Linked DNA regions of Saccharomyces cerevisiae S288C. Changing the gene in region 3 together with the main gene of any one other region gives a genetic interaction. Each region holds a gene or a part of one and is shown on either strand. Other genes may lie near its edges.

The links.
Region 1: mutations in YLR156C-A (region 3) and SAP1 together harm fitness more than expected from each alone (negative genetic interaction), as found in Saccharomyces cerevisiae (one large-scale study listed by BioGRID).
Region 2: mutations in YLR156C-A (region 3) and YPQ2 together harm fitness less than expected from each alone (positive genetic interaction), as found in Saccharomyces cerevisiae (one large-scale study listed by BioGRID).
Region 4: mutations in YLR156C-A (region 3) and AGA1 together harm fitness more than expected from each alone (negative genetic interaction), as found in Saccharomyces cerevisiae (one large-scale study listed by BioGRID).

What each region holds. Positions count from the first base shown.
Region 1 is NC_001137.3:241,404-250,804, reverse strand, and holds SAP1 (putative AAA family ATPase SAP1), read left to right. Parts: upstream 1-4,301; coding exon 4,302-6,995; downstream 6,996-9,401. Other genes in the region: ISD11 (Isd11p), read right to left, coding at 1-87; CAJ1 (Caj1p), read left to right, coding at 2,648-3,823; SPO73 (Spo73p), read right to left, coding at 7,194-7,625; ACA1 (Aca1p), read left to right, coding at 9,304-9,401.
Region 2 is NC_001136.10:1,177,500-1,185,370, forward strand, and holds YPQ2 (Ypq2p), read left to right. Parts: upstream 1-4,301; coding exon 4,302-5,255; downstream 5,256-7,871. Other genes in the region: ATP22 (Atp22p), read right to left, coding at 1-675; SBE2 (Sbe2p), read left to right, coding at 1,167-3,761; thioredoxin-disulfide reductase TRR1, read left to right, coding at 5,800-6,759; TRP4 (anthranilate phosphoribosyltransferase), read left to right, coding at 7,248-7,871. UniProt on the Saccharomyces cerevisiae protein: Amino acid transporter that moves arginine across the vacuolar membrane. Active during nitrogen starvation when it exports stored vacuolar arginine to the cytosol, for use as a nitrogen source.
Region 3 is NC_001144.5:469,790-476,551, forward strand, and holds YLR156C-A (uncharacterized protein), read right to left. Parts: upstream 2,822-6,762; coding exon 2,690-2,821; downstream 1-2,689. Other genes in the region: asparaginase ASP3-1, read right to left, coding at 1-616; YLR156W (uncharacterized protein), read left to right, coding at 2,324-2,668; asparaginase ASP3-2, read right to left, coding at 3,180-4,268; YLR157W-D (uncharacterized protein), read left to right, coding at 5,975-6,187.
Region 4 is NC_001146.8:701,745-706,540, forward strand, and holds AGA1 (Aga1p), read left to right. Parts: upstream 1-1,954; coding exon 1,955-4,132; downstream 4,133-4,796. Other genes in the region: diphosphomevalonate decarboxylase MVD1, read left to right, coding at 151-1,341; PET494 (Pet494p), read left to right, coding at 4,395-4,796. UniProt on the Saccharomyces cerevisiae protein: Cell wall anchoring subunit of the a-agglutinin heterodimer.

The DNA.
Region 1 (9,401 bases), on a different chromosome or scaffold from region 3:
GTAATTATTGAATTGATTAGCATTCTTGATGAATTCCTTGTATAAAGACAACACCTGCCTTCTTGTTGGAGCTGTAAATCCAGGCATTTCTCTTCTTTCAAAAGGTGATTCCAAGTTCCCTATACTGCAGATAAAAATGGGAATAAAACTGCTATCCAAACTTCACTTGTTACCTTAGGCTCCGTAAAGTTACTGTGTAATTATATCAATTCCTCAATCATTTTTCTCCGCCGCTTATAAATGAATGAGAATAAATAGACTGCTATTACCCGGAAAGCGGGTGTTTCTCCAATAAATGCATTGTTTAATAATAAGTGGGTAATACAATATTGTTTGGATTTGATGGAAATAGCTATTGCTTTATCTACTTTACTGTGGACATTTGGGAACTAAAAAAACCTCTTTAACCAATATATTCAGCATATATTATGTAAAAATGAATAAAAAAGGTCCTACCCGGATTCGAACCGGGGTTGTCCGGATCAAAACCGAAAGTGATAACCACTACACTATAGGACCAGTACAACTGTAAATTGTTGTATCTCAAAATGAGATACGTCAGTATGACAATACGTCATCCTAAACGTTCATAAAACACAGATGAAACAACCTTATAACAAAACGAACAACATGAGATAAAACCCGGCCTTCCCTAGCTGAACTACCCAAACGTATAAATGCCTGAACAATTAGTTTAGATCCGAGATTCCGCGCTTCCACCACTTAATATGATTCATATTTTATATAATATATAAGATAAGTAACATTCCGTGAATTAATCTGATAAACTGTTTTGACAACTGGTTACTTCCCTAAGACTGTTTATATTAGGATTGTCAAGACACTCCGGTATTACTCGAGCCCGTAATACAACATAAATTTAGCCGTAAAAAAATCAACTAACCCTACAGTAAACTAAACGTAGTACTTTGACACCGATAAACAGGTGAAATATTGAAAAATCGGCAAAAAAATACATAATTATTAGCACTTTACTGTTATTGAACATTATGATATCAGGTATACAAGATATTAGGTATACAAGGTATACCTGAGAAACTGGTGAATAATTCGATAATTGTTGGCATTCCATTGTTGGGAGAGGCTATTATATCATGTATACAGAATATAGTAGAAGTTCTCCCCAAGAATATAGGAATCCTCAAAATGAAATCGATATCTCTACATAGTGATACAACGATTATTCCTCATTCCGTTTCATATGTTTCATTATCCTATTAGATTACATTTCAACTTTCACTAGATTTTAATACTTATAACACATTTTTAAGCAGCATGTGATAATATTCAGGTAACATTAATAATACTAAGCAGATGACATTGGAATTTCGTTACAACAATACCTCTAATATTGCTTCTGCCGAAATCAAATTATGATAAGAACCAATCATCATCCATCGTCTAATATTGTAAACTAGTATACCATCATATACGGTATAAGAAGATAATATAAATTGAGAGACAGCCATCAAAAATTGATGGAAACTGAAATGTAATCTAATAGGATAATGAAAGACAAAGTATAACGGGAAGGAAGATAAAGTAACACCATCGATTCTCTTTTGTGAATTCCTATAACGTCGGGAGAATTGCTTGTATACTATGTATACCTAATGTTATAGGATTCGGCAACAATGCAATCCGAACAATTATCAAATTACTCGCCAGTTTCTCAGGTATATATATTATCCTGAATGTTCTCTCCCAGGAGTATGGACCCTTAAAAGGCAAATCAATAATCTTAATATAATGTTTTAATTGTTTTTCTTTTTCTACGTTTCTGAAAATTACGATTAATCCATTCTATTAAATTGTCAACTCTGCGTTATTCCTTCACCAAATTTGAATACGAATCAGACAATTCTAAAATTACGTCATATTTTAACAACACATATCATAATATTCCACCAAAAGTCGCTTTTGATTAATAAATGATACAGTATTTTTTTCCCAACGAACGGTCAGTAACATATCAGTAGACTCTAAACACATTTTGTATCAGTACACCTTCTTACACTGCTAAAATGTTTTGGTCTTTTTTTGTTTACATTAATATTTTCATTTACGCAACAGAGAATTGCCGCTAAATATGAACCAGCTACAAACAACTGGGTATGTATTAAATATAAGAATGCGAATTGATACCCTTATTACATAATTTTTTGATGCTCATCAGTATCAACAAATAGAATATAGCAAACGGAATTACCGGACATTCTAACATTTCCTGGAGAATATCTGCTAGAGTCAAATCAAATGATGAAGACTTTCGGTTAGCGTTTCAGAAATAAACAATGATGATTAATCCAAAAAATTTCGTATTTGAGAAGTAAGACAGTGAATCGAAGTGGTTCTCCTATGGATTGTTTTAGACCCTGGGAACGTCACTGCGGTGTTTTCGCCCGTCATACCAAGATGGGGCGGAGAACGGAAAATTTGATGGCGAATGTACACTGCCAAGGACAAACAGGGACGATAAAGTGTTAAAGTGGTGATATAGTCGGATCCGCGGTTAGCCGTAACCATTGCTTTCCAATGGTTTACGCCTGTAAAAAGAGCAACTTAGATAATTGTCGGCTTCACGTAATTAAGACGTATTAACTCAAAGGAAAAGAAAAGAGGGAATATGGTAAAGGAGACGGAGTATTATGATATTTTGGGCATCAAGCCTGAGGCCACGCCCACTGAAATCAAAAAGGCCTATCGTAGAAAGGCTATGGAAACACATCCGGACAAGCATCCTGATGACCCAGATGCTCAAGCAAAGTTTCAAGCCGTAGGCGAGGCCTACCAAGTCTTAAGTGATCCAGGGCTTCGTTCCAAGTATGACCAGTTTGGTAAGGAGGATGCTGTTCCTCAGCAAGGATTTGAAGATGCTTCTGAATACTTTACAGCAATATTCGGTGGTGATGGCTTCAAAGATTGGATTGGAGAATTTTCTTTGTTCAAAGAGCTAAACGAGGCAACAGAAATGTTTGGAAAGGAAGATGAGGAGGGTACAGCAGCCACTGAAACCGAAAAAGCAGATGAGAGCACTGATGGTGGAATGGTTAAGCATGACACTAATAAAGCTGAATCTTTGAAAAAAGATAAATTATCGAAGGAGCAAAGAGAGAAGCTAATGGAAATGGAGAAAAAAAGACGGGAAGATATGATGAAACAAGTCGACGAGTTGGCAGAAAAACTGAACGAAAAAATCTCTAGGTACTTAATTGCTGTGAAGTCCAATAACTTGGAGGAATTTACGCGAAAACTAGATCAAGAAATCGAGGATTTGAAATTAGAAAGTTTTGGTCTAGAGTTATTGTATTTATTGGCCAGGGTTTACAAGACAAAAGCGAATAATTTTATCATGTCCAAGAAGACTTACGGAATTTCTAAAATATTCACTGGTACACGCGACAATGCTAGATCTGTTAAATCAGCATACAATTTATTGTCTACAGGCTTAGAAGCTCAAAAAGCCATGGAAAAAATGAGTGAAGTCAATACTGACGAACTAGACCAATATGAACGTGCCAAATTTGAGTCCACAATGGCTGGTAAGGCACTTGGTGTCATGTGGGCTATGTCGAAATTTGAACTGGAAAGAAAACTAAAAGACGTTTGCAATAAGATTCTAAACGATAAAAAGGTCCCTTCCAAGGAACGTATTGCAAAGGCAAAAGCAATGCTGTTTATTGCCCACAAGTTTGCCAGTGCTAGAAGGTCACCAGAAGAAGCTGAAGAAGCTAGAGTTTTTGAAGAGCTAATCCTAGGTGAGCAGGAGAAGGAACACAAAAAACATACTGTGGCCAGATAAGCTCAGCAAGTTAATAACGCCTCATGTATATTTTTCATATATAGCGCAATCAATTACAAAGCGAAGAAAAAAAACCCTATGTATTCTAGACATATCACAGGCATACGGGTTTTCTCACACCAACCTTTCAAGTCTTCAGCACTTATGTTTTAACTTATTTTCTATTATTCAGTATATATATGGAATTAACACTGGCAACCCAAGCATCTTAGCCGAGATTCGCGGAGAAAATTGAAATCAAGAATAATAAAAATTCTTGATTCACGGTCATAAGAGGCTGAAGCAACAGCAACCGGCTCCCCAAGAACTACAATACGCGTCCGATATACTTTCTTATCAAATATATTGGTAATAATAAAGGCTGCAGTTCTTTTTTTAATATAGTCTTTTTACATTTATTGCAGCTAACAAACGCAATTTTTCTTTCCCTTTCACTCGTGCGGTTTTACCAGGATTGATTATATCGCACTGTGACACTATGGATTCACAAAGAAGCCATCATATTTTAACGAGATTAACCAAGATACGGAGAAGACCTCAACAACCGTTAACCGACTTTACAGAACTTTACAGTAGAATTGCCAATGAGACAATATATTACTTGAACCTAGAAGAGAAAAAACGATATAAAGAAGCATTGCAAGGATGGAAAGCGCTTACCACTGATGTACTATTCAAACAGACATTGATAGAGCATAACTACCCAAATACTCAATCATACACGAAAGATGAAGTTAGTTTACAGAACGGTATTCGAGAATTGTACCACAAGAGCGTTATGCATTTGAAAAGAGTCAAAAAATTGGTCCGAGAAGAGCCTGCTCCCAGGAATGATATGCCGTCATCCAAAACATACACTAATCATAGCTCATCTTTCACAAGGTCTACTGAACCACCTCCTGTATTCCAAATGGTTCCCGGAAGAATGATGAAAACATTAAGAAATAGAAATGCATGCGGCTATAAAACCGCATACTCCAACCCCTCACTATCATCATATGGTAACAGCACATCGATAAAACGCGGAGAAGATGCGGAGAACATTAGAGTAAATTTTGTACCTTCTAAGCCTTTATCCAACAATGCAAGCAGACAGCACAAGAACCCTATTGAGCACAATGATCCTCCACTTAAGAAGGAAACTGAACTGTACTCAGATAAATATATCTCAGAGCCAATATTGATAGATTTGACTAATGACGAGGATGATCACGATGTCGGCATTTTAAAAGGACACAACGTTTTTGATGAAGAAGAAAGTGATGGTTTCGAGTTTGATGTGTCCGATTACTATGATAATTTCTCCGAAGTCGACGTAGAAGAAGAAGAAGAAGAAAAAGAGGAAAGACGACGTATAAAAACGTTAGAAGCAATTCAACAGCAAATGTCTGACTTGTCTGTTACTTCTTCTACGTCCAGTAATAAGAGTGTAAGTTCTTCAGAAAATGTTCCCGGATCATGCATACAGTCCCTGCCGACTACCGCCCCTGCTCTTCCTTCATTACCTCCACCTCCTTTATTAAATGTCGATAGAGCGTCCAGCACTGGCGCTCTAAAGCCACATAGTTTAGAAACTTCTACTACTATGGATTCATCAAAGATTAGGAATCCTCAAATATCAAAATTAATGAAGAATAATCACGTACCATACTTAAAGGGTACCAAATCAACGCCCACTCTTATCACTAAATCAACGCCAACATTTATTACAAGATCAAAAAGTAATACAAAACCAATCATCAAATCCAATGCATCGTCTCCGACCTCTTCTCTGACTGTTCCAAATTCAGTAATTCAAAAACCCAAAACGGCTGCAATGGCTGCTAAGAGAGTTCTGAACAGCAAAAAGGTTGCGAGTAACCCCGCATTAAACACTACGAAGAAGAGTCACCCCATTTTGAAATCCAAAACGGCGAAAGTCCCAAATTCCAGTTCGAAGAAAACGAGTAGCCATCCTTCCAGACCTGTAAGTAACTCAAAACCATACTCGCATGGTGCATCCCAGAATAAGAAGCCATCGAAAAATCAAACCACGTCTATGAGTAAAACGAATCGAAAAATACCAGCACAAAAAAAAATCGGTTCTCCAAAAATAGAAGATGTTGGAACAGAAGATGCCACTGAACATGCCACTTCCCTAAATGAGCAAAGAGAAGAGCCTGAAATAGACAAGAAAGTCCTGAGGGAGATTTTAGAAGATGAAATTATTGATAGTTTACAAGGTGTAGATAGGCAAGCTGCAAAGCAAATTTTTGCCGAAATCGTAGTGCACGGAGATGAAGTTCATTGGGATGATATTGCTGGTTTAGAAAGTGCAAAATATTCTTTGAAGGAAGCAGTTGTCTATCCGTTTTTGAGACCAGACTTATTCAGGGGGTTACGTGAACCAGTCAGGGGGATGCTCTTATTTGGACCACCAGGTACAGGTAAAACAATGCTAGCGAGAGCTGTAGCTACAGAGTCGCACTCCACCTTTTTCTCTATTAGTGCTTCCAGTTTGACATCTAAATACTTGGGTGAAAGTGAAAAATTAGTGAGGGCACTATTTGCAATTGCCAAAAAATTGTCACCTTCTATAATATTTGTTGATGAAATTGACTCTATCATGGGTAGTAGGAATAACGAAAATGAAAATGAGTCAAGCCGAAGGATAAAGAATGAATTTCTTGTTCAGTGGTCATCCTTGTCCAGCGCAGCGGCTGGTTCAAACAAAAGTAACACTAACAATTCTGACACCAATGGCGACGAAGATGATACAAGGGTACTGGTACTTGCCGCGACAAACTTACCATGGTCTATTGATGAGGCTGCAAGGAGAAGATTTGTGAGAAGACAATATATCCCATTACCAGAGGACCAGACCAGACACGTTCAATTTAAGAAGCTTCTTTCCCATCAAAAGCACACGTTAACCGAATCAGATTTTGATGAACTGGTAAAGATTACTGAGGGCTATTCAGGAAGTGATATAACGTCTTTAGCGAAGGATGCTGCCATGGGCCCACTACGAGATCTGGGTGATAAGTTATTAGAAACAGAGAGGGAGATGATAAGACCCATAGGCCTTGTGGATTTTAAGAACAGTTTAGTGTATATCAAGCCCTCTGTATCCCAGGACGGATTAGTGAAGTACGAAAAGTGGGCTTCACAATTCGGATCATCAGGTTCATGATGATGATAATAATAATAATAATATAATAATAATGGTAATAATAAATAATATTCTAGCCTAGCTGGACAAACTGTGTGCACATAAGCGGATCGATAAAATATGTTCTGCATAATGTCACCTTTTCTTTTTTTTTTTTTTTTTTTTCTTTTTTTTGACTACTTAGTTTGTTAAACAATTTAATATTAGCGTAAACTATTACTAATCTAATCCATGACTGGTCGTAGGTAGTCTTACCCAGACCCTTCTTCTCACCAAGCCATTTTTCGATTTCCACCTAGAGTTATTGAAATTCCAGCTATAACACCATCCTTGATCGTCAATATCGTACTTTTCCTTGTAATCCATCAGTACGAACCACTTTGTCATCTGTGAACTGCTACTGCCTGCAGTGCGTTCAGTACTCAGATCGATAGGATACAGTTCTATGAAGTTCGATATAGTATTTTTCGACAGGGCAATTAACGAGCCATTTTCAGTGTTTAGTCTTTGAAATTGTGGTGGGTCAACGTGAGGCAGTAAAATCTTGGGAGAAAATAGTGGGTAACCAAGTAAAGTTATGCCTCTCTCGTTTTCTATGAGTACGTCCTCCGGTAAAGCAGAGAAATCCTTCAAGAAATGGTTTTTGCCCATATATCTCTATGTATGATTGTATTTTAACGATGAAAGAAACCTTGTTACGATTGCAAAGTCTTCAATTTCCTGGAAAATAGTAGCCTTTTGGTCCCACGAGCCCAATTACGTAGACAAGATTCAATCGCTTTGTTTAAGCGGAGATAAACTTTCACAAAAAAGATAATGCACACAAGCCAGATTTTCATTAAACACTGTAGAAGGTGAAAATGTCGCGTGACAGTATATGTAAAGGCATATAATAAGGTTTCAAAAGCAGAAAGCGCAAAATATCAAGGTGCAAATTATTGCTTCCTTTGGTTCCATCAGCCTCTTTCTGTACGTAAAAAACAACATTTGCATGTACATGTTTTCTAAGTTAATCTGCGACCCAACCCGAATAGCTCTCTTTTACCCTTATTTTCAACCGTCAGCCCCTCTTATTGGTTGGAACGCCTCAATATCAGAGGTCAAAGTCAAGATATCTTGTTATCATCGGTGTTAGTGCCCAAATTGCCAATTGAACGCCTCTATCAAACTGAGGAACAAACCAGCGCTCGCAAAGGAAAACGCGTTTTCTTTTGGCTGCTTTTCTTTCGAAGTGCAGGAACGAGCAGTATTTGGTTGCCATTGTGCGGCACACCCAAGCACACAACGATGCGCTAGGCCAATTGATTCATTACCGTTGGTGTTTCAGGTATTCGTGCTCATCAACGTGACTATTCAGCAACTGAATTAAACTGCTCTTAATAACTTATGTGCACCGTAAGCCAGTCAGTGCTAATGAAGGAATCAATCAGGAGTCGTACAGTGCGTAGGCACACTTTTTTTCCGCAGCTGTTTACTAAGGGTTGTGTAACGTCTGGGTGTGGAGGGGCAATTACCGTAAAGATGCTCTCGAAATTACAATACTACGGTACTTTTCCCCACGGAAAGTTGTATCTCGGAGTTAAAAAGGGAGTGGCACGAGATTCATACAATGGCGTGCAGGCAAAATGATTACTACCGAAATCGAAGCAAGATGATGTTCAACCTTAGGACATCGAAGCTGTACCTCTGCATGAAGTAAGCAGAACAAGGCAAAGTTTAGTTTTTCAATGCTCGCTTCTGCTGGCACTGTTAGTTTGCAGCACATGAGTAGCAGTGGCGCGATTATATCCCCGTTGGGCCATCAAAGCGCAGCTTTTTGTGGTATCAGATAAAATAGTGGTACGCTAAGGCTCTGCGTGAGGAGTTAAGCAATATGCCAAGTATTACTTTGTAGACTTAATTTTAAAATGCTCTTAATTTTAATTTCTATTTTTCTATTTTCTATTTTCTATTTTCTATTTTACTTTTTTTCTTTTTCTGGCTTTTTTTAGTAGTGATATATAATTAGTTTTTCATCTGAAAGATATTTAGGGCACCATTTTCTTTTGTTCTTAGATGCAGATATTCTTTGGCGATTTACCCTGGTGGTACAGAAGATTATGTTACATAATTCATCAATTTTTTTTATGTTAGTTCATCTTCAAAATCTGCTTTAACTGGTTATTATTAAAATATAGTAAATCTAGATCTCTCAATCTGAGTGCTTACCGACTAAAAGCGCAGAAACTGTATTCTTATTATTTTTTTTTTTTCACGGCAGCTAATTGTACTGAGTTATATTAATAGTACTGGAATAACACCAGGTAACGACTAAGGAACCAAATAAAGTATGGACTATAAGCATAATTTTGCTACAAGTCCAGATTCTTTCCTAGATGGAAGGCAGAACCCACTCTTATATACAGATTTTCTATCTTCAAACAAGGA
Region 2 (7,871 bases), on a different chromosome or scaffold from region 3:
CAGAACTTTTTCCATTATAAATTTTATGTTTGTCTCATCATGCAAAAATATTTGGAACGTGGCTAACTGCCTCTCCATCTCAGTTCCTTTTATCAGCCTATTGGTAAATCTCGTACAGTAGTTAGAAGTAAAGAGAAGAACATCACTTTTCAAAAGAAAAAGATAGTGATTAAAAGATTCTGATTTTGGAATATGATACCAGAACCATCTGTGGACCTCACCTGGTAGATAAAATCCAATTTTTCTTGCCACCTCTGGGTATAACTCGTGTTGATGCAAAATGATATCATATAAAAGTTTCTTCTTTTCATTTTCTGAGCAATTATTTATATGCAGGGCATTTCGTAGAGATTCAAAAAAAGAGGCGTATTCAGTTACTCCAAAAGTCTCACTTAATACAGTTTTCAATTGTCGGAGCTCGTATAAACGCTTCTGAACATTTTTCGAAGATCCGCTCTTCCTAGAACATGGCACCTGTCGTTCAAAATCGCCAAACTGCAAAGGTTCTGAACGATTTGATTTAATTTTCAATGGACAGTTTTTCGTAGATAAATGGCGCAGATTTGTAATAGGTAGAATTGTGTATGTCCCTGCGCTACCCATATGTTTAAACAGCGGTGAAGTGACCATTTGAGCCAAAGGCTGGGAATAGACACGGCATATACATTTTAACATGCCAATAAGAACATTAAAGTGAACGCTTGGAAGATTTGAAAGCCCATTCTTGCCAGTACGCCAATAAAGTGTGTCGCGCAGAATAGATCTTCATGTAATTCCTTTTTCCCTTTTATGCAATCTATAATGTTAATCAGCGTAGATCACTATATACGCTTTTTTTTTTTTTTTTCAGCTCCGATTAGAGAGCAAAAGAGATGTAACATCGATCCTGCTATAATTAGAATACAAGTGTTGATCTTTAATTGTACTGTTTCTGCGAAAGCTATCGAGCATTTGGCTGTATTCCACTGTCCATTGTATTTTTAACTCTCCTTTTTATCATTCTGAAACATAGAGCTGTTTTGACAAAATTCAGTTTTTTCTCAATTAGTGCTTTCATTCATACGTTCGTTACAAGCTTTGAATTTTAACTTTATTTTCGGGCTTCCACCTTTGCTTCATTATTTTACTTCAGCTCTTTAGCTTTCTGTGACATTCAATTTTATTGTATGACAGCACGTCGTTTGATTAATATAGTTCCTAATACGTCTAAGCTAGACCCTTTAAAGGAGGAGGACTCAACGCATCTGAAACAAAATCAACCTAAGAAGTTTTCCACAAAGGAGTTGATGCTTTCAGAATATACCGAACGCAAAAGTTGCAGCCTTCCGTTGTCTAAATCCCGATCAGGCAGTAGTGCATCCAGTAGCACTACAGGTTCGAACGGAAAGAATATTGGAACAAGACGCCCTAGCTCCAACCTAGATTTCAATTTCGCTAGCCAAGATGTTGTTAAAAATGTATTAGGTAATAATAATCCACACGTACCCACAGCGAAGTGCATTAGGCCAATATCAGATGATTCTATAGGTACATCGAGCACAGAGATATTTTCTTCATCGCACTCAAATACGACATCTGATTCTTTATGTACATCAGATATAAGCTCAGAAGAGGGTGAAATAGCAAACAGTAAGATGGAGGATAACTGCTTCTTCAAAAGTATGAGAGAAGCTGACCATAGAAGCAATATTACGCCCTTAAAGAAAAGCCGACCGGGATCAATACTACAGAAAACACGTACAGCAAGTAGCGCTGATAAAACAATCTGCTCAATGAGTACCATAACTACATGCATTCCATCTCGTCAAAATTCGGTGTCAACTCCTAAACTCTCCAGGACAGTAGGGCTGCCTGGATCGAGCAATACAACCAACAGTATAGCCGCATCACAAACTTCATTCATAAGCGAGAATGACTCTCCTCTTAAACATCATTGCATGAGTACCGCAACTATCCAAGAACCAAAACTCATGCCGATCACAAAAACGCCGTATGTGCATTCCAATAGTACTTCTGTAATATTACCATATAAAACAACCCAACTTACTCCTTCTCAACGTTACCGTTTAAGGAAAGAGCAAAATGACCAATCTTTGCGTAAAGCCATAAAAATGAAAGAAAAATTTTATGAAGATCAAGACGTTAACTTGGAACTTCAAGAGGGCGATGTCGACGGCTCGTTAATTTGGAACATTCCAATGGCATCTTTATCGACCAGTTCTTTTTTAACATTATCTAAGTTTAATAGAAAAGAAATGAGTTTAGATTCAGCGCGGGGGGATGAAGAGATATTAATACAGGAGAACAATTGCGAAGGCAAACAACACTCATCTTCGGCTCTCTGTGTGGACAAAACTTTCCATCAGGTTCATAGTACTAGAAAACATACATCAAATTCAAGTAACACTTTAAAAGAATCATGTCTGGACTATAAGGAGCTTCCGCCAACATGCATTCCTGGTATATCTCCTGTGTCTGATTCACAGTACATCCAGGATACAATGAAAAATCTCTCCCAAATATACCTGCATAGTTCCGAAAAAATCTCCAAAAGTATTCTTTCTGGTCGTTCAAGATCTGTACAGAGTTTACCACTGGAATTTAAAGAAGCCAGTAGTCAGGGAATGGAAGACCTAATGCTAGTTTCAGAGGACAAACTAAAGGCCGTAAGTCATTTCCGTCCGAGTTGGCTCCCGCCCAAGGATTTCAAAGAGAGGAAATTGCAAGATAAACAAATCTACAAAAATATCGACTTAGCATCAATGGAAGAGTTGCAAAAAAATAAAGAACGTGACGAAAAAGCCAAAAAGAATGAGCAGAATAAGGTCAAATTCCAGCATTTACTGGACCGAGGCATTACTCGTAACTCGTCATTAAGTGAATTAAAGAAAATTATTTGGGAAACACCTTTGATATCTAAAGTACGGCTTCAAATATATAGTCAACTTCTACAAAGTGACAATTGCTTGATAACAAAATGTTTTATTGAATCATTTGAGGAAGTAATGCAGCTACTCAACAAAATGGATTTTCCCAAAGATAAAGAATTTGAAATAAGACAGCTTATTGAACACGATGTACAGGAAAAGGTTTTTTATAAAAATGGAACAGATAAGCAAGTGGTTTCTGACTTGATGCTATTACTGCAACTGAAATCTATATCTCAACAAGGTTTGGTTACTGGTGATGAGATGCTATTCTACCATTTTTTAACTGATCAATCTTTTGGGACTTTGAAGGAAACATGGGAAATGGTCAACTTGATACAGATGACGTGCTTCAGTGAAATTTGCAAGGAAAAATACGATTCAAGAATATTAAATCCCAGAGGAATTGTTGCCCATCTTTTACGAAAAGATGAGTTCAAAAATGAATTCAATGGCGGATGTTTGAATAGCAATACATGGTGGAACATATTGCAAAGAATGGACCATAAACTTTTTATGTGGGTAATGGATGTAATTATCGTTCATAATGGCCAAAACTTTGCAAACTACCCCGTAAAAATGGAAATATTCAAAGACAAAGTATGGGAATACTATAGATCTAAGAAGGTTATTGTAAATTATAAGATTTTGGTTTCACTAACAGTTAACGTATTGTTAAACTACCACTTCGGATATGATAATCTGAAACATTTATCAGATTTGGATGATAAGCATTTTTGTATTCCACTGTATACGGAGGATAGTATCGAAGAGGAAAACCTCAATAATATTTTCACAAAGTGGTGGTTGCACTACTACCGAAAATTACGTTAGCGTGTATGTGGCACGTACTAAAAGTTTGGTGACCAGACTATCTCTTCTTAAGTTCATTTTCACTCTGAAACTTATAAATGCATACATACAGAAATTACTTTCGATTAATATAATAATATATTTTTAATAAACAATGAACTAATGCCCTTATTGTGTTTTGTTATTAACCTTTTCATCACCATTTTTTTTTGCTAGCTTCTACGGCATTCACTTACGTGCTGCAAAATTTCGCAGCATGGAAGAAATTGTTCGCGAAGAAAAAAGATTTCGCTCAGTGATTTGTAGTGACAATAGGTACCAGTGTTATCACTAAGTATATCTTTTAGTATATCTCTTCGCTTGAGGAGGGATCAAAAAAAAACAAACGTAAACGTGCACATAAACGTCAAGTACTTTTTGCAGGCATTAATATTCGTCTCCAACAAAGACAAATAAAGAAGCAATCTTTTCATTACCTTAAGCCAGTATCTATTGATATCAATCGATAAGGTTCGTTGTTATCGGTGCTAAAAATTATAAAGTGAAAATAAGAATCTTTTCATGTCGTGCTCAAACGGCATCTGGCCTACTGTATCTAATTTGTGCGGATCATTATCCTTCTTCACCTCTGTTATTTCATTGTTTCCACAAATAATTGAGACTTATCGAGATAAATCTGTCGATGGGCTATCGCCATATTTTTTGCTGGCTTGGTTATGTGGGGATATTACCTCGCTGATAGGGGCAAAGCTAACAGGGCAATTGTTATTTCAGATACTTTTAGCAATTTATTTTCTATTGAATGATTCTTTTGTATGTGGTCAATATTATTACTATGGCGTGCTGCATGAAAATAAATTGGCGACTGTCGGCCATGAGCCTAAACCTCTTCTTCCCGAACTGGTTGAAAATGGTGAGCTTTTGAGGGAGGAAGAGGACATGATACAAGGTGGTAGCAGTGCAGAAAGCCCTAGAAGCAGTAGAAGAAGGTCTGCCATTACAGCAGCCTTGGCTATAGCTCATACTATAAGTACAGCTAGCGCATATCCGCTAAATGTAGGCTCCACCCAATCACAAGTGGGGCCTCCCGGAGATGGTAAAAACAGCCAGCTGGGTACAATTTTATCTTGGATTGGCGCTTCCTTCTACGTAGGCGCACGTATCCCACAACTAATCAAGAATTACAATAGAAAGTCTACAGACGGCTTATCTCCCTTCCTATTTGCTACTACACTACTCTGCAATATCACGTATAATTTGAGCATCTTCACAAGCTGTAGATTTTTAGATAATCAGAACAAGAGGGAATTCATCGTGAATGAGTTGCCCTTTATATTTGGAAGTGCTGGAACAATTGCGTTTGATTTGATATACTTCTACCAATACTATATCCTTTATGCAACTGATATGCAACTACGTGAACTGGAAAGAGAACTATACAGTCCTGAAGAAGACAGTGCAGCGCAACTAGTGACAGAACGTACATCACTGTTGTCTGGTGAAACGCAAACATAGTTTTCCCTACGGAGTACTACCATTTATATTTAAACAATGCACTCTGCTCTTGGGATAGTCCTTGCGAGACCCTTTTTTCCCAATAGGAATACTACGTTCGTACTCTGTGTAAAAGTACCCAACTATAGTTAGCGCCAGTTTTACGTAAAACCGTCTATGTCTTGTTTGCATTCGCAACAGCTACAAACACATATAGTTTGTCACACTAATATTAATAATGAAAGTTATTATGTATTCACTGTGAACGCTTCAGTATACAGTACGGCAGTAAGTGTTTCATTCTGTTCTGGATTAATAATCTTTCACTTTGCCTAGCCATTTGGGGGCGGGTTTTGGCTGGGTTAGCTTCTCCTTAGTCATGGAGAAAAAAAATCGCCCGCAAGTATCTCGAAAAAGGAAAAAATGCCCACGCGTATAAGAGTGGACCCAACTGCTCGAGGTTTCAAGAGCTTGTAGATTAATTTCTGTAGTTCAGTTATACTTGCCTACAAGTGCTATACAGCAAATAGCGAACAGTACGAAAGTAAACATCATATTATCAATAATGGTTCACAACAAAGTTACTATCATTGGTTCAGGTCCAGCTGCACACACCGCCGCCATCTATTTGGCCAGGGCAGAAATCAAGCCAATCCTATATGAAGGTATGATGGCGAACGGTATTGCTGCCGGTGGCCAGCTAACCACCACTACAGAAATCGAAAACTTCCCAGGTTTCCCAGATGGTCTAACAGGTAGCGAACTGATGGACAGAATGAGAGAACAATCCACGAAGTTTGGCACTGAAATTATCACGGAAACAGTTTCCAAAGTTGATCTGTCTTCCAAACCATTCAAGCTATGGACCGAATTTAACGAAGACGCAGAACCTGTGACGACTGACGCTATAATCTTGGCCACAGGCGCTTCTGCTAAGAGAATGCATTTGCCGGGCGAGGAAACCTACTGGCAAAAAGGTATTTCTGCCTGTGCCGTGTGTGATGGTGCCGTCCCCATTTTCAGAAACAAGCCATTGGCCGTCATTGGTGGTGGTGACTCTGCATGTGAAGAAGCTCAGTTCTTGACCAAGTACGGCTCAAAAGTGTTTATGCTTGTCAGAAAAGACCATTTGCGTGCTTCTACCATTATGCAAAAGCGTGCTGAGAAGAACGAAAAAATTGAAATCCTTTACAACACTGTTGCGCTAGAAGCTAAGGGGGATGGTAAATTATTGAATGCCTTGAGGATTAAGAACACTAAAAAGAATGAAGAAACCGATTTGCCAGTCAGCGGTTTATTTTATGCAATTGGCCACACTCCAGCAACAAAGATTGTCGCTGGCCAAGTCGACACTGATGAAGCGGGCTACATTAAAACTGTCCCAGGCAGCTCATTAACCTCCGTTCCAGGATTTTTCGCTGCTGGTGATGTTCAGGATTCTAAATACAGACAAGCTATTACTTCTGCTGGCTCTGGTTGTATGGCCGCTTTGGATGCTGAGAAATACTTAACTTCCCTAGAATAGATGAATTTTCCATTATAAAATAGATACACTCAAATTTTTGTATACTTATCCAACAAATCGTTACTTTCTCCTTTTCTTTAATAAAAAGCAAACCATGAATTTTATTTCTTTTCCCCATTATTAGAGAAAGCCAATACATAATCTACATATATTGCGTGTCTGAATTAAACTTTTTAGACACATGACATAGGCCATCGGCTTACTTTGTAACGCGTGGTTGCCTATACACCGACTATTAAGTTATGACTAATATTATTGCTGCGCTTCCCCACCTGCATTTTTCTTGTCGTCTTTGCCAAAAGGAAAAAAAAACCTACGCAGATTGACTCTCTAAAAAATGATTCATGACCAGACAATTCAGTAAACATAAACTCTGTTGCATTCATTCTTCTGGAAAACTTTATAATAAAGCATCTGATATTACAGCTACTGACAACTAAGTGAATTTAAACTGCAATAATCACAAGAAAACTTAGTATTCCCTTATCATGTCCGAGGCGACTTTGCTATCTTACACCAAGAAATTATTGGCTTCTCCGCCGCAATTGAGTAGCACAGACCTACACGATGCGTTGCTGGTTATATTAAGTCTTTTGCAAAAATGTGATACAAATAGCGATGAGAGTCTTTCCATCTATACCAAAGTTTCGAGTTTTCTCACGGCCTTGAGAGTTACTAAACTTGATCACAAGGCTGAATACATTGCGGAAGCTGCAAAGGCTGTGCTCAGACATTCCGACCTTGTTGATCTACCTTTACCCAAGAAGGACGAATTACACCCGGAAGATGGACCAGTAATCTTAGATATTGTAGGTACTGGTGGTGACGGACAGAATACTTTTAATGTTTCCACGTCTGCTGCTATCGTTGCCTCCGGAATTCAGGGCCTAAAAATTTGTAAGCACGGTGGTAAAGCTTCTACATCCAATAGTGGAGCTGGTGACCTAATTGGAACTTTAGGCTGTGACATGTTCAAGGTTAATTCATCGACAGTGCCCAAACTTTGGCCTGATAATACGTTCATGTTTCTACTTGCTCCTTTTTTTCATCATGGAATGGGCCACGTTTCTAAGATACGCAAATTTCTTGGAATTCCGACTGTTTTCAACGTA
Region 3 (6,762 bases):
CTCTGAATGTATCTAAAGAGTTGGCATTCATTTTCGTTGTCCAAAACCCAGAGGCAATACGATCGTTTAGAGTGATCATCGTGCCACGACCCAGTGATTTCTCAGAAGCAGCAATAGACACTGCTTGATATAAATTCATTGGGCCATCAGCAGACGTGGCAGTGGCTGGACGCATAGCGCCTGCGATACATACTGGCTTCTCTGAATTTATGGTCAAATCTAAGAAGAAAGCTGTCTCCTCCATAGTGTCGGTCCCATGAGTGACAACCGCACCAGCGTAGTCATCAGAGGCTAGTGCCTCGGAGATACCGTGATACAATGGGATCAGATGCGTATAGTTTAAAGAATTTGAACCAACGTTAGACACTTGAAGATAGTCCAGATTTGCCTTCTCAGCTAAAGATGGGACGGCTTCTATTAAATCATTTACGGTTAATCCCACGCTATAACCCGCCGTTGTTGCACTTGTCGAACCCTTGGAAGCGATAGTACCGCCGGTACCAAAAATTTTGATTGATGGCAAAGAAGAATTCTTCTCTTCACGAATTTTTAGTAGTGGAGCACCACTGGACATTGCGACAAAGAGAGAAAGTAAAAGGGTATTTAAAGATCTCATAGTTGGAGGTTGGTGAGTACCAGATTGCTTACAAAAGAATAGCGAGCCAACATTTGCTCTGCCTCAGGCCTCTTGGTGCTGCTTGAAGACTCATCTTATATGGCTTTTGTATGTCATGATTTGTTCTTGTACATTATGTGTTGATATTAAACAAATTGATTTTTTTTTTTTTGCGATAGCAAGCAGATAATGAAAGAGACAAGGACTTGGAACATCCGATAAGACTGCGCCGATATCGATCTTACAGTCCTTCCCTTGTGTCATGACTTTCGGAAAAGCATCCTCGTCGACTGGTAGTTTGCTGTCTGTCACGTGCTGAAGGGTCTGATACATTTTTTTAAAGATAAGAGACGGGGTTTACCCTTCGGAGGACTAAGCGAGATCTCCAAGTAAAGATCTCGCTTATCAAGAAAGCAGCCAAGTGTGGAACGTCCTTTTTTTTGGTTTCAAAAAGATATTCAACAGTTTACACTGCAGCTTTAATTGCCTCAAAAGGATATCATGAGGTGATCTAGGGTCAGAAGGGAAAGATTACAGCATCTTGAGTTGAATCACATCTGCAAAAGGTGGTATTATTGACGTTGCTCTTCCTTAATGGAAACTCATGGGGTTTGGAAAGGAGGTGCGGTAATCTATTTTTTTCGAACACAAAACCTAACCTTGAAAAGAAACTGTCCAATTTCATTGAACTTACCTCAGAACGGGCCGGAGTCTTTGCTTTCAGTCTAACATGGTCTAATTTCTTCGAAAAGCTTCATTTAATTGTTAGACTGTGGTTTTACAAGGAAAAAACCAGTGCTATACTGAAGCGATACCCAGAACTAATTACCTTGTGTGACGATTCGGCTCAGCGAAACGGACATGGTAAAATTGGGAATTTGAAAGCAGGCAGCAGCCTTGTACAGCGACATGACGATAGGTTTAGAATCCCCATCACGTACGAGTTGAAGAATTCTACGAAGGCTCTATGCGTTATTCCTCTATCGGTATAAAGTGTAGCGTTGTAGGGGGGATATTGGTGGTTTAGTTGAATTTGCGCAACGAAATTATAGAACTCATAAAAGTTCAATTCAATACTTGAAACCCTTAACGTTGGTTCGACCATCAATTGTTTGGACATAATAGTTTTATTCTGCGGCCGATTTCAAAATTTAGTAAATCAAATGTTGAAGCATCACCAGTAGGATGACCACTCCCATGACAAAACTCCGTCCCAAAGATAGCTTGATCATCCTAAGCGGGTCGCATTTTACTATCCCCAGTTCCGAAGAATAACAAGGCTCAATGCATATGCTGTTTATCGTGCTCACAAGGCGGTATGACGTTTTTAGCAATGTAATTATATTAAAAAGATCTTCAGTCACTATGAGTGGTTGATTGCCCCATAGAGAGCTATAAGCCGACGTGAAAGCTGCTGGTTCCAGCTTGGCTCATGTCGTCACCAGTCACTAGTCACTTGGTCGCATTCATTGCTACTCATCTGCGAGTGAGCATATTTGAGATCTGACTTGCCAAGGGATTAGAATCACGTAAGACTCTTGATCCTTAGAAGATATTTCTGACAAAGAACCACCTAAGCCATGCAAGTTTTTTTTTTCATTTGGTGGCGAAACAAAGGTGATGAAAGTTTCTTCTTGTACAAACGCCAATCCCGATAGGTGAGACAATTCTTGAAGTAATGGACCTCTGAGTAAGCATATCAGTCGAATGAAGTTCCAATATGCGTTGGCCAAGGAACAGCTAGGCAGCAACTCGCGCAGTGGCGTCAAAAAACTAATAAGTAAACACCACTGGCTTCCGGAATACTATTTCTCTGATCTCTCATTTTCTGTTGTACAGCAGTGGGACAGTAGAGCCATTGAAAAAACTACAATCATATCTTGTATGCGGCCCGCAAACCAAGAGATTTATCCTTTGAGACATTGTGAGACCCTCCGTTCGCAACCGTGCTCTCTGTTTTCATCACTATATGCACGCTCTTTCCAAAGCTCCTGCACTTTGCACGTGGCGGAGCCATCGCCCGGCTTCCATATGTACGGCTGCCACACCTAACTATTTCGGTTGCGGCCATATCTACCAGAAAGCACCGTTTCCCGTCCGATCAACTGTAGTTAAGCTGGTAAGAGCCTGACCGAGTAGTGTAGTGGGTGACCATACGCGAAACTCAGGTGCTGCAGTTGTTTTTTTTTTCGCGCACGAATACATCACGCAGCCTCGCCTTGACACTGCTCAAGGGATAAGGGGAAGGAGCTGAGATAGAACTGAGTTGGAGCGTTGCAGCGGCACGAGCAGTGAAAAGAGCGAAGAGAAGAGAAGCAGATAAAAGACCAAAGTAGCGATGATACTTCGATGTTTGGAGCGATTTTTCCTATGTGAATATTAGAAATCATATGTTTTGTATCAGCTGAACAGTGAATGATGTGCTCAATACTCAAATTCATCTTTTTGTTTGCTAAAAATAGCTTAACTGGCACATCATGAAAAGGATGTAGAAATTATAGAGTATATTTACTACTAAGAACTATATAAAAACACAGTGTGATGAAAAGTCACTGATCAGGCTTTAACCACCGTAGACGCCAGAAAAAACAGACCTAATCTGATCCATGCCGTAGCCGGAGTACAAACATAATTGTAGCAAAATACGCGATTTTTGAGGGTTTAGGTAGCCAGATCCAATGGCGTACTCTGGGGCATCATCTGGAGGAACTGTACCATCTGCTGTTCTTCTGCTGTGAACAATTGGTATACCATACTCTTCATAAAGTTGTTCGTTTACAATACTACCCGTAGCAGTCCAGGAACCAGCTCCAGAACCCGCCAACACGATACCTTTTGCGCCCAGGTCCTTGACGGCCTTTACTATTAGCTCAGGATTCAAGCCTTGATAGGAGTACAGAATAATGACTTCTGGAATTTCCGAAGGGTCTGTGAGGTTGGAAATGTCAAAAAATTGCCATCCATTTGGCTTGACTGGTGGGTAGTAAAACTCCACGTCATCATTTGAAAAGTAACCTAAATATCCCTGTTCATCCGCTCTGAATGTATCTAAAGAGTTGGCATTCATTTTCGTTGTCCAAAACCCAGAGGCAATACGATCGTTTAGAGTGATCATCGTGCCACGACCCAGTGATTTCTCAGAAGCAGCAATAGACACTGCTTGATATAAATTCATTGGGCCATCAGCAGACGTGGCAGTGGCTGGACGCATAGCGCCTGCGATACATACTGGCTTCTCTGAATTTATGGTCAAATCTAAGAAGAAAGCTGTCTCCTCCATAGTGTCGGTCCCATGAGTGACAACCGCACCAGCGTAGTCATCAGAGGCTAGTGCCTCGGAGATACCGTGATACAATGGGATCAGATGCGTATAGTTTAAAGAATTTGAACCAACGTTAGACACTTGAAGATAGTCCAGATTTGCCTTCTCAGCTAAAGATGGGACGGCTTCTATTAAATCATTTACGGTTAATCCCACGCTATAACCCGCCGTTGTTGCACTTGTCGAACCCTTGGAAGCGATAGTACCGCCGGTACCAAAAATTTTGATTGATGGCAAAGAAGAATTCTTCTCTTCACGAATTTTTAGTAGTGGAGCACCACTGGACATTGCGACAAAGAGAGAAAGTAAAAGGGTATTTAAAGATCTCATAGTTGGAGGTTGGTGAGTACCAGATTGCTTACAAAAGAATAGCGAGCCAACATTTGCTCTGCCTCAGGCCTCTTGGTGCTGCTTGAAGACTCATCTTATATGGCTTTTGTATGTCATGATTTGTTCTTGTACATTATGTGTTGATATTAAACAAATTGATTTTTTTTTTTTTGCGATAGCAAGCAGATAATGAAAGAGACAAGGACTTGGAACATCCGATAAGACTGCGCCGATATCGATCTTACAGTCCTTCCCTTGTGTCATGACTTTCGGAAAAGCATCCTCGTCGACTGGTAGTTTGCTGTCTGTCACGTGCTGAAGGGTCTGATACATTTTTTTAAAGATAAGAGACGGGGTTTACCTTCGGAGGACTAAGCGAGATCTCCAAGTAAAGATCTCGCTTATCAAGAAAGCAGCCAAGTGTGGAACGTCCTTTTTTTTGGTTTCAAAAAGATATTCAACAGTTTACACTGCAGCTTTAATTGCCTCAAAAGGATATCATGAGGTGATCTAGGGTCAGAAGGGAAAGATTACAGCATCTTGAGTTGAATCACATCTGCAAAAGGTGGTATTATTGACGTTGCTCTTCCTTAATGGAAACTCATGGGGTTTGGAAAGGAGGTGCGGTAATCTATTTTTTTCGAACACAAAACCTAACCTTGAAAAGAAACTGTCCAATTTCATTGAACTTACCTCAGAACGGGCCGGAGTCTTTGCTTTCAGTCTAACATGGTCTAATTTCTTCGAAAAGCTTCATTTAATTGTTAGACTGTGGTTTTACAAGGAAAAAACCAGTGCTATACTGAAGCGATACCCAGAACTAATTACCTTGTGTGACGATTCGGCTCAGCGAAACGGACATGGTAAAATTGGGAATTTGAAAGCAGGCAGCAGCCTTGTACAGCGACATGACGATAGGTTTAGAATCCCCATCACGTACGAGTTGAAGAATTCTACGAAGGCTCTATGCGTTATTCCTCTATCGGTATAAAGTGTAGCGTTGTAGGGGGGATATTGGTGGTTTAGTTGAATTTGCGCAACGAAATTATAGAACTCATAAAAGTTCAATTCAATACTTGAAACCCTTAACGTTGGTTCGACCATCAATTGTTTGGACATAATAGTTTTATTCTGCGGCCGATTTCAAAATTTAGTAAATCAAATGTTGAAGCATCACCAGTAGGATGACCACTCCCATGACAAAACTCCGTCCCAAAGATAGCTTGATCATCCTAAGCGGGTCGCATTTTACTATCCCCAGTTCCGAAGAATAACAAGGCTCAATGCATATGCTGTTTATCGTGCTCACAAGGCGGTATGACGTTTTTAGCAATGTAATTATATTAAAAAGATCTTCAGTCACTATGAGTGGTTGATTGCCCCATAGAGAGCTATAAGCCGACGTGAAAGCTGCTGGTTCCAGCTTGGCTCATGTCGTCACCAGTCACTAGTCACTTGGTCGCATTCATTGCTACTCATCTGCGAGTGAGCATATTTGAGATCTGACTTGCCAAGGGATTAGAATCACGTAAGACTCTTGATCCTTAGAAGATATTTCTGACAAAGAACCACCTAAGCCATGCAAGTTTTTTTTTTCATTTGGTGGCGAAACAAAGGTGATGAAAGTTTCTTCTTGTACAAACGCCAAGCCCGATAGGTGAGACAATTCTTGAAGTAATGGACCTCTGAGTAAGCATATCAGTCGAATGAAGTTCCAATATGCGTTGGCCAAGGAACAGCTAGGCAGCAACTCGCGCAGTGGCGTCAAAAAACTAATAAGTAAACACCACTGGCTTCCGGAATACTATTTCTCTGATCTCTCATTTTCTGTTGTACAGCAGTGGGACAGTAGAGCCATTGAAAAAACTACAATCATATCTTGTATGCGGCCCGCAAACCAAGAGATTTATCCTTTGTGAGAAATGGGTGAATGTTGAGATAATTGTTGGGATTCCATTGTTGATAAAGGCTATAATATTAGGTATACAGAATATACTAGAAGTTCTCCTCGAGGATATAGGAATCCTCAAAATGGAATCTATATTTCTACATACTAATATTACGATTATTCCTCATTCCGTTTTATATGTTTATATTCATTGATCCTATTACATTATCAATCCTTGCGTTTCAGCTTCCACTAATTTAGATGACTATTTCTCATCATTTGCGTCATCTTCTAACACCGTATATGATAATATACTAGTAATGTAAATACTAGTTAGTAGATGATAGTTGATTTCTATTCCAACATACCACCCATAATGTAATAGATCTAATGAATCCATTTGTTAGTTAATAGTTTAAATGTTTTTATCGGAAGAGGTTTTGTCATCACATCAGCAATGTTCTTCTTGGTCTCGATGTAGTATACGTATAAATTATTACCTGATACTTCATCTCTAAGTCTCATTGCCTTTGTGCCAAAAAATCTGTTTCTAAATTTCTCTTCATTTGTAGACTTAATTATACTGATCGTTGATCTACTATCAGT
Region 4 (4,796 bases), on a different chromosome or scaffold from region 3:
GGCCTGATTCTTGTGAAACTTTTCCACGATGCCGAAATCGCCGAAATGGCTCGTTTAGCCTTTTCTCGAAGATTGATATATAAAGAGCATCCATCGTGCTGGTAATGGTGATGCAAGATTGAAAATTCCCAGACAGTGAGCACCAGCACAATGACCGTTTACACAGCATCCGTTACCGCACCCGTCAACATCGCAACCCTTAAGTATTGGGGGAAAAGGGACACGAAGTTGAATCTGCCCACCAATTCGTCCATATCAGTGACTTTATCGCAAGATGACCTCAGAACGTTGACCTCTGCGGCTACTGCACCTGAGTTTGAACGCGACACTTTGTGGTTAAATGGAGAACCACACAGCATCGACAATGAAAGAACTCAAAATTGTCTGCGCGACCTACGCCAATTAAGAAAGGAAATGGAATCGAAGGACGCCTCATTGCCCACATTATCTCAATGGAAACTCCACATTGTCTCCGAAAATAACTTTCCTACAGCAGCTGGTTTAGCTTCCTCCGCTGCTGGCTTTGCTGCATTGGTCTCTGCAATTGCTAAGTTATACCAATTACCACAGTCAACTTCAGAAATATCTAGAATAGCAAGAAAGGGGTCTGGTTCAGCTTGTAGATCGTTGTTTGGCGGATACGTGGCCTGGGAAATGGGAAAAGCTGAAGATGGTCATGATTCCATGGCAGTACAAATCGCAGACAGCTCTGACTGGCCTCAGATGAAAGCTTGTGTCCTAGTTGTCAGCGATATTAAAAAGGATGTGAGTTCCACTCAGGGTATGCAATTGACCGTGGCAACCTCCGAACTATTTAAAGAAAGAATTGAACATGTCGTACCAAAGAGATTTGAAGTCATGCGTAAAGCCATTGTTGAAAAAGATTTCGCCACCTTTGCAAAGGAAACAATGATGGATTCCAACTCTTTCCATGCCACATGTTTGGACTCTTTCCCTCCAATATTCTACATGAATGACACTTCCAAGCGTATCATCAGTTGGTGCCACACCATTAATCAGTTTTACGGAGAAACAATCGTTGCATACACGTTTGATGCAGGTCCAAATGCTGTGTTGTACTACTTAGCTGAAAATGAGTCGAAACTCTTTGCATTTATCTATAAATTGTTTGGCTCTGTTCCTGGATGGGACAAGAAATTTACTACTGAGCAGCTTGAGGCTTTCAACCATCAATTTGAATCATCTAACTTTACTGCACGTGAATTGGATCTTGAGTTGCAAAAGGATGTTGCCAGAGTGATTTTAACTCAAGTCGGTTCAGGCCCACAAGAAACAAACGAATCTTTGATTGACGCAAAGACTGGTCTACCAAAGGAATAAGATCAATTCGATATGTAACATTTTTCTTTTCTTTTCTTTTCCTTTTTTTACAATAGCTAATTTACGTTTCCCTACGGTATTGGTCGGAACGACCAAGCTTCAATTTATAAATATCTTAATTTTAACAGCAGTTACCACTTGAATGAGAAACTTTTTGATGCCTACTCTTTTGCTTTTTCATATCATGACCTCCCTACATGCTTCGGAATTTCCTTATTCGTAGCTGTCTAACAGCACCACTTAGCACAAGTACGTCCACCCGTTTCATACTTAAAGATCTCAGCAGCCACCCAATCTACATTTAGGGTACCTGTCACATATCTTCTCAAATTTTAGGTTAGCTTTCAATTGTAAAGTCTCTTTTTGGATATTGCACGTTTCAAGTCAAAACGCGGCTGTAACATAATTTTCTGAAACAATATTAAAACATAGTAATGACTTAAAACAAGCGACTATCGCAAATAAGCAGTTCCCAGCAAGCAATTAAAACGTATATAAGCGCAGAATAATGATCTATCATCAATAATTATCGTGAACTTTTCCAGTATTTACGTTCATCTTTGAAAAACGGCGAGCATTAACAATAAAAGCTAAAAAAACCAAAAAATTTCAGATGACATTATCTTTCGCTCATTTTACCTACCTGTTCACAATATTGTTGGGATTAACTAATATTGCCTTGGCATCTGATCCAGAAACGATTCTAGTGACGATAACCAAGACAAACGATGCAAATGGGGTTGTTACAACTACAGTTTCACCCGCGCTAGTCTCCACATCCACTATCGTTCAAGCTGGCACTACGACATTGTATACGACTTGGTGTCCATTGACGGTATCCACTTCATCTGCTGCCGAAATAAGTCCTTCAATATCGTACGCTACTACCCTATCCAGATTTAGTACTTTGACATTATCTACAGAAGTCTGCTCCCATGAGGCATGTCCTTCGTCATCGACGTTGCCAACCACCACCTTATCTGTGACTTCCAAGTTCACTTCATATATTTGCCCTACTTGTCACACAACCGCTATCAGCTCATTATCCGAAGTAGGAACTACAACCGTGGTATCATCCAGCGCCATTGAACCATCAAGTGCCTCTATAATCTCACCTGTCACCTCTACACTTTCGAGTACAACATCGTCCAATCCAACTACTACCTCCCTAAGTTCGACATCTACATCTCCAAGCTCTACATCTACATCTCCAAGCTCTACATCTACCTCATCAAGTTCGACATCTACCTCATCAAGTTCGACATCTACCTCATCAAGTTCGACATCTACATCTCCAAGTTCGACATCCACATCTTCAAGTTTGACATCCACATCTTCAAGTTCTACATCTACATCCCAAAGTTCTACATCTACCTCATCAAGTTCGACATCTACATCTCCAAGCTCTACATCTACCTCATCAAGTTCAACATCTACATCTCCAAGTTCTAAATCTACTTCTGCAAGCTCCACTTCCACTTCTTCATATTCAACATCTACATCCCCAAGTTTGACTTCTTCATCTCCAACTTTGGCTTCCACTTCTCCAAGTTCAACATCTATTAGCTCTACTTTTACTGATTCAACTTCATCCCTTGGCTCCTCTATAGCATCTTCATCAACGTCTGTGTCATTATACAGCCCATCCACACCTGTTTACTCCGTCCCTTCGACTTCGTCAAATGTTGCAACTCCTTCTATGACTTCTTCAACTGTTGAAACAACTGTTAGTTCACAAAGTTCGTCTGAATATATCACCAAATCCTCAATTTCTACTACTATCCCATCATTTTCCATGTCTACATATTTCACCACTGTTAGTGGAGTCACTACAATGTATACGACATGGTGTCCTTATAGCTCTGAATCTGAGACTAGCACATTAACCAGTATGCATGAAACGGTTACAACAGACGCTACAGTCTGCACTCACGAGTCTTGCATGCCCTCGCAGACAACAAGTTTGATTACATCTTCTATAAAAATGTCCACTAAAAACGTCGCAACTTCTGTAAGCACCTCAACGGTTGAATCCTCATATGCATGCTCCACATGTGCTGAAACGTCACACTCGTATTCTTCCGTGCAAACAGCTTCATCAAGTTCTGTAACACAGCAGACCACATCCACAAAGAGTTGGGTAAGTTCAATGACAACTTCGGATGAAGATTTCAATAAGCACGCTACCGGTAAGTATCATGTAACATCTTCAGGTACCTCAACCATTTCGACTAGTGTAAGTGAAGCCACGAGTACATCAAGCATTGACTCAGAATCTCAAGAACAATCATCACACTTATTATCGACATCGGTCCTTTCATCCTCCTCCTTGTCTGCTACATTATCCTCTGACAGTACTATTTTGCTATTCAGTTCTGTATCATCACTAAGTGTCGAACAGTCACCAGTTACCACACTTCAAATTTCTTCAACATCAGAGATTTTACAACCCACTTCTTCCACAGCTATTGCTACAATATCTGCCTCTACATCATCACTTTCCGCAACATCTATCTCTACACCATCTACCTCTGTGGAATCGACTATTGAATCTTCATCATTGACTCCGACGGTATCTTCTATTTTCCTCTCATCATCATCTGCTCCCTCTTCTCTACAAACATCTGTTACCACTACAGAAGTTTCCACTACTTCAATCTCCATACAATACCAAACTTCATCAATGGTAACAATTAGCCAATATATGGGCAGTGGATCGCAAACGCGTTTGCCATTAGGAAAGTTGGTCTTCGCCATCATGGCAGTTGCTTGCAATGTAATTTTCAGTTAATATCAGAACAATTTAATTCATTTATATAAACATATACAATCAATCGAATAAAAATACAACAATGTAATGAAAACGCTCTCTATTGATATGTATTTGCTGACGCTTATAAATTTATTAAAGTTTTATTTTAAACCGTTCTAGTGACTTCACGCGGGGAGATACATCCAATAGTAAATTACAAAATAAGGAAAGTATAAAACAAACGGATAACAACAGTAGCTTGGAGACAGCAAAGGCACCCGAGCAGGCGTGGAAACACACGATGCATTTGAAAAAGGGGAAGAGGAGTATTAGCACAGTATGGCGACTTTTATGGAAGCGTTTTTATTCCGTAAACTCTAAGACGAATATGCATTTTTCTCGAAGTAGGAAGAAACCAGTGACAAACTTCACAAGGACAAACGGACTTCTCCTGAGCTGTAATGGTGATACATTCCCATATCTGCGTACACTGTGGAGATACTTCAATGCGCCTGGTAATTTGATGTTTGTCACAACTAATATTGTCGCATTTATGGGCATTGTTACGTATAATACGCTGGTTACTATCAGCAGTGAAAGAGCATTCGAAGAGCAGATGATGGCGGCACAGGTGAGCCTGGCGAAACAGAGAGAAGAGCTCGAGACTACGGCCCTCAGCTTGCCACGAGATATTGAATTGAGG